Linked DNA regions of Coturnix japonica. The protein of the gene in region 2 purifies or fractionates together with the protein of the main gene of each other region. This does not show direct contact. Links are inferred from orthologs where the notes say so. Each region holds a gene or a part of one and is shown on either strand. Other genes may lie near its edges.

Region 1 (4,093 bases), on a different chromosome or scaffold from region 2:
CTTCATCTCCTGGAAATGGCAAAACAGTATCTTTATGGAAGTGAATTCTGCTTTGTTGAAGTGTATCCAGGGGAGGGACACATGAATGACCCAGTGATGGAACATCTCTCCTACGAGGATGGGTTGAGAGCTGGGGCTGCTCAGCCTAGAGAAGAGAAAGCTGCAGGGAGACCTGGAAGCGGCCTTTCTGCACCTAGGAAGAGCATGCAAGAAAGAAAGGGACAGACTCTACAGCAGGGTCTGCTGTGATAGGAGAAGGGGAAACGGTTTGAGGCTTAAAGAGGGTAGATTTACTTTAGAGATAAAGAAAAAGTCTATTACTGAGTGAGAGTGGTGAAAATGAGGGTGGTGAGGCACTGGAACAGGCTGCCCAGAGATGCGGCTGATGCCCTGTCCTTGCAGACTTACAAGGCCAGGCTGGGCAGGACTCTGAGCACCTGGTCAGATGTAGGAGTCCCTGTATGTTGTGGGATCGTTGGACCTGATGGCCTTCATGATCCTACGGTGTGACCCCAGCTCCTGGTTATGGGCTCCACCCTCCCCACCGCTGTTCGACCCGAGCCCCTCACCTTGATTCCTGTACTCAAAGAGCCGCGGGTCGGCCCGGATGGGGATAAGGCCCAGTCGGTGCGCCAGGATCTCGTCCTGCACGATGGACGTGTTGTTGTACACAAACACCTTTTCCACAGCCATGGTCGGCACCTCGGGGGGACGACAGAGCGAGGCGATAAGCCGCCAAGCAGGGCACCGCACGGGGACCATCCACTCGTCATGTCTCCCAGCCCCGCGGTACCTCAGCGAGCAGGATGCGGCGGAACGCGTTGGCGATGGCCGCGTCGATGCCCACCATGTCGAACTCGAGCACGCCGTCCTCCTCCCGCACCACGTCCACGCGGAACCCCTGCTCGGGAACCGCGCCGCGTCACGACGGAGCCGAACAAGGGGCCCCGCAGCAGCAGCTCCATCAGCTCCATCATCTCCATCAGCTCCCACTCACCTCCTCGAAGCGCCGCTGGTCCCACGCGTCGTCGTACCCGGGGTAGTTGCCTGGGAAGTCAGTGGTGTGGACCTGCGGGGGGCGCAGCCCGTGAGGCAGCGGGGGGTGATGCGGGAGCCGCCCCGCGTCCCGCCGCCCCACGCACGTTGCGGACGCCGAACTCGCCCAGCACCACGCGCTCCCGCATCTCGTCCGTGCCGCGCCGGGCCGCCATCGCCGACGGAAGGACGCGCCGCCGCCCCGCCCCGCCGCACGTAAGGCGGCCATGCGGAACTGACGGCTCTCGCGAGACACGGAGCGGCCGGACCGTCACATCCGCGTTGCCGTCCCCCGTTACCGGCGCTATGGCCGCGGCGGGCGGCAGGAGCGGCACCGCCGAGTGGGGCGGCTTTGAGGACAACGTGCAGGTGGGGCCGGCCCGCGGGGGGGGGGACAGAGGGGCCCGAGCGGGCGCTGACGATCCGTGCATCGGAGCAGGGCGGCGGCTCGGCCGTCATCGACATGGAGAACATGGACGACACGTCGGGCTCCAGCTTCGAGGACATGGGGGAGATGCACCAGCGCATGAAGGAGGAGGAGGACGAGGAGGCGGAGGGCGAGGCGGGGGCCGGCGGGGAAGAGGACGGCGAGTTCCTGGGCATGAAGGGGCTGCAGGGGCAGCTGGGCCGGCAGGTGGCCGACCAGGTGAGTGGGCTCACGAGCCGCCAACAGCCCCGCCGGCCCCGGCCCCGCCGCTGCACGTACCGTTCTGTCCGCAGATGTGGCAGGTGGGGAAGCGACAGGCGTCCAAAGCGTTCAGCCTCTACGCCAACATCGACATCCTGCGGCCATACTTCGACGTGGAGCCCGTCCAAGTGCGCACCAGGTGGGCAGGGCAGCGGGTGCACGGGATCTGTTGCTTCTTAATGACTGTCCTGATGTCGTTCCCCGCTGTGCCGTAATGCAGGTTGCTGGAGTCCATGGTGCCCGTCAAGATGATCAGTTTCCCACAGGTGAGTTCTCTCTCACTGAACCAGACCCCACAGCCTGAGTGACTGTTCCACAGAGACCCCTCAGATGTAATTAGCCTGTTATTAAGGATCCAAGTCTGTTAGATGTTCACCTCCCTCAAAGTATCAGTAAACCCTTTCCTATGGTTGTTCCAAACCCCATTCTCATAGAATTGTAATCATAGAACATCCTGAGTTGGAAGGGACTCATAAGGCTCACCTGGCTCCATACAGCACCACCCATAAATCAGACCATATAGCTGAGATCATTGTCCGGATGCTTCTTCAACTCCAGCCAGCTCACTGCTGTGACCGCTGCCCTGCACAGCCTGTGCCAGCGCTGCCTTTACCTTCCTGCTACCCTTAACGCTGGTACAGTTGTAGAACTCTAGACCTCACTTTGCCCATTTCTGCATCCTGTTGAACACCACTCTGACTCATCACAGTCTGTTCTGTGTGGCTTCTGTCAGCAGTGGCCTTGCAGATGCTCCTCGGGTGATAAAAGTCTCCAAGATGCTCGTTATGTCTCTCAGGGTGGAGAGCCTGGAAGACAGGAGCACTAACTAAGCCTCATCTCTCTCTTTACATGTAGAAGATTGCAGGTGAGCTTTACGGACCCCTCATGCTGGTCTTCACGCTGGTGGCCATCCTGTTGCATGGGATGAAGACCTCGGACACTATCATTGTATGGCGAGTCTCAGTGATTCATTTGTGCTTTGACCGGGTTTGGGATTGCTATAATGACACTGGAAAGGGAGAGGAAACCTCTTCTGTATCACAAGAGCTGAAAAGCAGATTTGATCTGAGGAAGATCCTTTTGGTTTTGGAGAGGGGAGGAAAGTTGCATCAGAAAGTCCCAATGCTCTGTAGCTGGGAGAGATGGGGTGTAGGTCGTGGGGCAACCTGCCTGCTGTTAAGCCAGCTGTTTGTATACATGTATGAAAGGCTCTGGGTGCTCTGCAGTGAAACTCAGGTGCTGGCAGGCCCTTGCTCTGAGTTCTCTCTGTCCTGCTGCTGTCTCCACAGAGGGAAGGCACACTGATGGGCACAGCCATTGGCACCTGCTTTGGTTACTGGTTGGGAGTCTCCTCTTTCATCTATTTCCTGGCATATCTGTGCAATGCCCAAATCACGATGGTGCAGATGCTGTCGCTGTTGGTATGTACGGATGGGGCTGCCCCAGGATGGATGCTGGCTGCGTGGTGTTCCAGAGGGGAGGGTAACCTGTGAGCTCTTCCCAGAGAGCTGGAAACATCTTTGTAAATGAGTGGTCCCAGATGACCATAACCTTGTTGCACAGGGACAACTTGGAATCCGGGATGATCTTTGGACCTGATCTGTCCCAGACACAGAGATGGCACAGAGCAGCTGTTAGTGCTTGCAAGTTTCCTCTTGGGGAGATTCTCATTTTTCTGGGATCAGAGGCTTTTTTCCTTGCATTTCCTAGATTGATGCAATCTCCAACAGTCCTGTGAATCCTTCTGACAGATGAGCTGGGTGTGAGCTCCTGTTAAATCTGTTGTGCTGGTTGACATTCTAGCACGGAGTGTGCAGTCTGCAAAGTAGTGCCTTGCTGAAACATTGCAAGCATTGGCTGTTTGTTGCTCAACAACCTTTTGTGTGCAAGTGACAACTGTAACATGGATGTGTTTGTTTTGCCAGGGCTATGGCCTTTTTGGACACTGCATCACTCTGCTTGTCACCTATAATATCCACTTCCATTCCCTCTTCTATGTTTTCTGGTTAGTCGTTGGTGGACTCTCTACACTGCGAATGGTAAGTGACTGGCAGCCCAGAGGGAAGTGTTTCTTGCTTTCTGTTCCTTGGGCCAGTCAAGTGATTCCACAGCTGGGTAGGGTGCTTAAAGAAAGCCTGATGCTTCTGGGCCATTTGGCTATTAGTGTGTGGCCTGGCTTACTGTCCTCACCCATTCTAACAGCTGCAGGAAGCCTGCTGTCTTATGTCCCCCGCTGCTCCAGAGATACTTGCTGAGCCCCCTTAACACTGAGTGAAACTGGGCAAGATTCATCTACCCAAAACAGTCAGATTTCCTAGTGCCAACTGTGAGGAAGGCTCTGAGCAGTGTTCCCACTGGCTCTCTGCTTAG
Region 2 (4,294 bases):
ATGGGAGTACATAAGAATTCTCACAAACTGTTTTCATCATCAAATGTATACTAATGATGTGATTCCTCTATGCTATTAATGCCCTAAGTCACTGCTCAGTTCGATCCCACAGCAGATACCAGGCATTCACACACAGGACTGGGAGAGGAAGTTGGACTTTCCCCTGAATTACCCTATATGATATTACACACAAACTCTTCTGATTACATTCTCTTTTGTTTTTTAATGGGACTCAGGGAGGAACGGTTACTTTGACTAAAGCAATGCTTTCCTTATGCCTCGTGATACAGCCTATCCAAAAGCAAAGGAGGAAAAAGGGATTTTGCTCCGGAGGAACAGGTTAAATAGGGCAGACCGGCTACCGTTGTGCTGTATGTCTGCTGGGAAAAAGGGAAGCCTATCGTCACATGAGACAGAGCTGAATGTGTTACGTCTCCCGTGCAGAGCAGAAACAGAGCGGAGGGTTTTCCCTGGAGTCAGGAGAGATTTGTAGAAAAACCTTTCTTAAAAAATGCCCCATCCCCCTCCCCGTGTCAGCTCCTGAAATGTGGGACAAAGGTCCTCATGATTATTCAACGAGTTGGAGATATGCAACCAAACACAGCATTAGTCAACCATGAAAACAGCAACACCAAGCCAGCAAATTAAACACGTTGAACAGAGAAAACCTGCAAGTGTGTGAAAGGCCACAGCTCTTGCAAAACTGGCTCCAAGGCGTTAATATTAAAGGGAGAATAAAATACTGCCTTGGTGCATGAAGTCTGGGCAACCACACGCTGCCTCCCCCAGACACAAAACTCCTGCCTAACTGTGCAGAGCTGCTGCAGTCGTAGCTGAACATCAGCAGCTCCTTCTCCTTAGGGATCTCACAGCTTCTGGAAGATGCGCTGACAGTTCAGACACTGTAACTTGCACTGAGTCAAAGCTGGGAGAAAAATGTGCCGACAAACCACGCTTCAACCAGGACAGCCACTGTAGTACTGGGGCACTCAAGACAAAACCAGCACATTCACCTGCAAAATGCTGTATTACAGAGGATGCCAACCACCTTAAGCTGTCCTGAGAGCACATCGGCCCTTCATAGCCATACATTGCACTGATGACCAGGTACTAGTTTTACTCTTTGTGAAGAAAGCAGTTCTTTAAGAAACAGGTGAGGCAACACCTTGTGGCAGCTACCCAAGCCCTAAGGTCTGTGCATGTTCAAAGGAAGCTTTCACAATTCACATTTTGCCATGCCCATGCTCCCCTGTGCTAACAGGGCATCTCTCCCACGGTCTCTTCTTCACTTCGTTCCTTCACCAGAGATGGATTTCAGTGCTCAGAGCTGTGAGCAGGCACAAACATCCATCTCTGTTTGGCAGAGCAAAGAACAAAGGCCACTGGGCAGAAAACATTGCTACAGTTCTGCAAAGGTTGCTCACATGTACAGACAGGAAATTGAATGGTACAAATGGTTAACAAGCCTTCTGAAAAGTCCTATCTGCAGTTTGGAACCCAAATAGTTCTTTGTGTCTTAAGGCAACCAGTGCCTGTGGGTCTGTGCAGCTTGCACCTGACACAAGGACAAGCAGCACAGCCTCAGCCTCACTGGCTGCTTGGGTCTGAAGCTCTGCTGGCAGGACACAGCTGAGCTGAACAGGGACAGCAGGTGTCAGGCTGATAGGCAGCAAATTCTGGGTCCTGTGTGGCACAGCACAGAACAGGACTCCCCTGCTGCATCCAACTGCCGCACCTGCAGGATGACTTCTGCCTCCTTTATAAAGAAAATAAACCAACCCCTTTTGATGTGTGAGTTCAAAGAGACATCCTTGAACCACCAACAATAAAGCCAACTGAGCCCGTTGTTCCCGGGCCGATCCTTGTTCCCCAAGGTCCTCCAGCAGATACCTGCTGAATTGCAGGCATTGTATACAGGCCACACGAGCTGAGACACTGCAGTTTGAGACCGCTTTTACGAGTGGAGTTAAACAGAAGAGATTAGCTTAGATCTCAAACTAAATGCAGCATGCCAGATATAAAGCAGGAGCACTCAGGGCCACCGAGAGTGGCCCGGGACAGCAGTGCTGAGATCCACACACACTCCCTTGGCAGCACAGCGCGGACGGCGTGTCCTGCCGGCAGCTCCTGGCTGACACACGGGCTCTGCAGGTGGAACCCACCAAACGAGCCTGACCGCGGGCTCAGCTTGAAGCCCCGCTGCTCCCCTCACCTCGGTGACGATGGTGGAGTGGTACACATCGCGGCTGTACTCCCAGCCGTCCAGGCACGGCTCCTGCTCCAGCTCCGCCAGCTGCACGTCGGAGCCGGGCCGCAGCCCCAGCGCCGACAGGTTGGCGAGCACGGCCAGGCGGTAGCGGCGGCAGCGGCTCGGCCCCGTCAGTCCGCCGCGCAGCTCCAGCGGGATGCTGGCGTTCCGCCACTCCTCGCTCAGGTTGGCTCCGGGGGGCACAGCGCAGCGGTGCTCGGGGGTACCGGCCAGGAAGACGATGGACAGCCCGTTGAAGCCGTTGGGGATGATGCTGGCGCTGAGCAGGAAGAAGACGAGGCGCTGGAAGCGGCCCCACTCGCCCAGGAAGGCGGTCACCTCCTCGTAGTCCCGCATGGCGCAGCCCAACGGCGCCCGCCGCTACCGACGGGCAGGAAACGGCCGGCCCCGAGCCGCCCAGCCGCCGGCCGAGCTCTTTGCCATGGGCCGGGCCTCGCCGGCGGGGGAGCGGCCGGGGGTGTGGTCAGCGGGCTCAGGGCTCTCAGGTGGGGCCGGGCGCTGCGGCCCGGCCCGGCCCGGATCAACCCGGCCGGCAGCTCCCGGCGTGCACTGCGGGCGGCACGGGGGCGCGGCGGAGGCTCGGCGGGGAGTAGGGCGGGATGGGCCGGGATGAACGAGAACGGGGGTCTGAGCCGAATGTGGGCTGATGTGTGCCTGTTTCCAGTCACTACATAGGGAGCTACAGCTACTGAGCAGCACAGTCTGCTTTCCCCTGCTGCCTTTACCCCGATGTGCCGCTCAGTCCCCACTCCCAAGGGAACACAGGGTGGAAATATGCTGGTCTATAAAGGCAGGGAGATCCCACTGGTGACCATCATGGGACAGAGGCGGTGTAGGAGGATGATTACTGCTATCTAAGGAGGACTAAAAGCAAAATATGAACACCTCTTGGAGCTGCGGGGATTCAGAGCAGCAGTGATAGGAAGCTGCATCAAGGTTGCAGTGATCAGAGCCCAGTGCATGGTGCAAGGCCAAATCGTTGTGGTCAATGCCTGGTGAGGCTGAAATGCTGCTATGGTCAAGTCCAGGTTGCTCACAGGGAGTTAAGTTCATTTTTAATTGCTTCTTTAAACATTTTTACACAATTTGTTAAATTTAGGAGACTTTATTCTTCAACTACAAACCACACAGACAGTAGGTTACACAATGCTAGTGCACATTTTATTCCATTAAAGACAGGAGTTACCAGGTGACGACAACTATGTATTTATACCTGCTTTAAGGTATCTGATAAGCCAGTGTCAGATCTTACCGATGATAAGAGGTTACACAAAGAGACCCAGGTAAATGTGATAGAGGAGAGTTGAGGCTGAGTGCTATCAGTGGGAGCCAGCCAGTTGTGCTTCCCCATCTTCGGGTCAGAGCTGTATGTGCACCTCCCAGCTCGGGTGAGCACACAGGTCCCACAGTGAGCCCCACCGAGCATCTGACACACAAAACTCACTGAAGATCGCAGTGAAAGCCTTAGGTTTCTCATCAGAAATACACTTACTTTCTGCCAATGGCTACTAAGCCAATTCTGTTTTCTTCAGCTTTACAACTAAACATTTAGTAACTTGCCAGAATCTGGCACTCCTGCCCTCCAGATTCATCCCCATCTGATTCTTCAGCAGGTTGTTTCTCTTTGAGTTCCTTCAGAAATGCCTGTTCTGGCCTGGGAAGGATACAGTCAGAGGACAGAAATACTCCTTGCAAGTGCTTCATCAGCTGAAGCAATCTCATTTTCTCATTCTGACTGTGCTCAGACACACTCAGTCCATGTAAGAACATCACATTCTTGGCAACAATGCATTCCACTCTTGCACTGTTTCTTTAATTTGCTATTAAAAACACTTAAATATGACACCAGCTTTTGATCAATGGTAAAAGCAAGAAAAACGAGACCAATTAAAACAAGGTATTTAAAAAACCCACAATCCTCTTCCTTATTTAAAAATAATAATAATAAAATGGAATCTAGTTTTAAGATACTACAAAGTTCAAGAATATAAAAATATTTACCTTTCAGAAAGGTTTACCTTTCAG

The links. Proteins that work in one complex are often made in the same cells at the same time.
Region 1: the proteins of solute carrier family 22 member 5-like (region 2) and YIPF3 purify together in Homo sapiens (co-immunoprecipitation; 3 studies listed by BioGRID and IntAct, counting the BioPlex papers as one, with this or other methods). This does not show direct contact. The link is inferred for Coturnix japonica from reciprocal best matches to the Homo sapiens genes SLC22A5 and YIPF3.

Annotation. Positions count from the first base shown.
Region 1 is NC_029518.1:27,800,330-27,804,422, forward strand, and holds the start of YIPF3 (protein YIPF3), read left to right. Parts: upstream 1-1,293; 5' UTR 1,294-1,341; coding exon 1,342-1,404; intron 1,405-1,474; coding exon 1,475-1,681; intron 1,682-1,755; coding exon 1,756-1,862; intron 1,863-1,943; coding exon 1,944-1,989; intron 1,990-2,578; coding exon 2,579-2,671; intron 2,672-3,012; coding exon 3,013-3,144; intron 3,145-3,648; coding exon 3,649-3,762; intron 3,763-4,093. Other genes in the region: POLR1C (DNA-directed RNA polymerases I and III subunit RPAC1), read right to left, coding at 1-9, 570-702, 794-901, 998-1,069, 1,143-1,211. UniProt on the Homo sapiens protein: Involved in the maintenance of the Golgi structure. May play a role in hematopoiesis.
Region 2 is NC_029528.1:1,336,027-1,340,320, forward strand, and holds the start of solute carrier family 22 member 5-like, read right to left. Parts: upstream 2,801-4,294; 5' UTR 2,606-2,800; coding exon 2,213-2,605; intron 1-2,212. UniProt on the Homo sapiens protein: Sodium-ion dependent, high affinity carnitine transporter. Involved in the active cellular uptake of carnitine. Transports one sodium ion with one molecule of carnitine.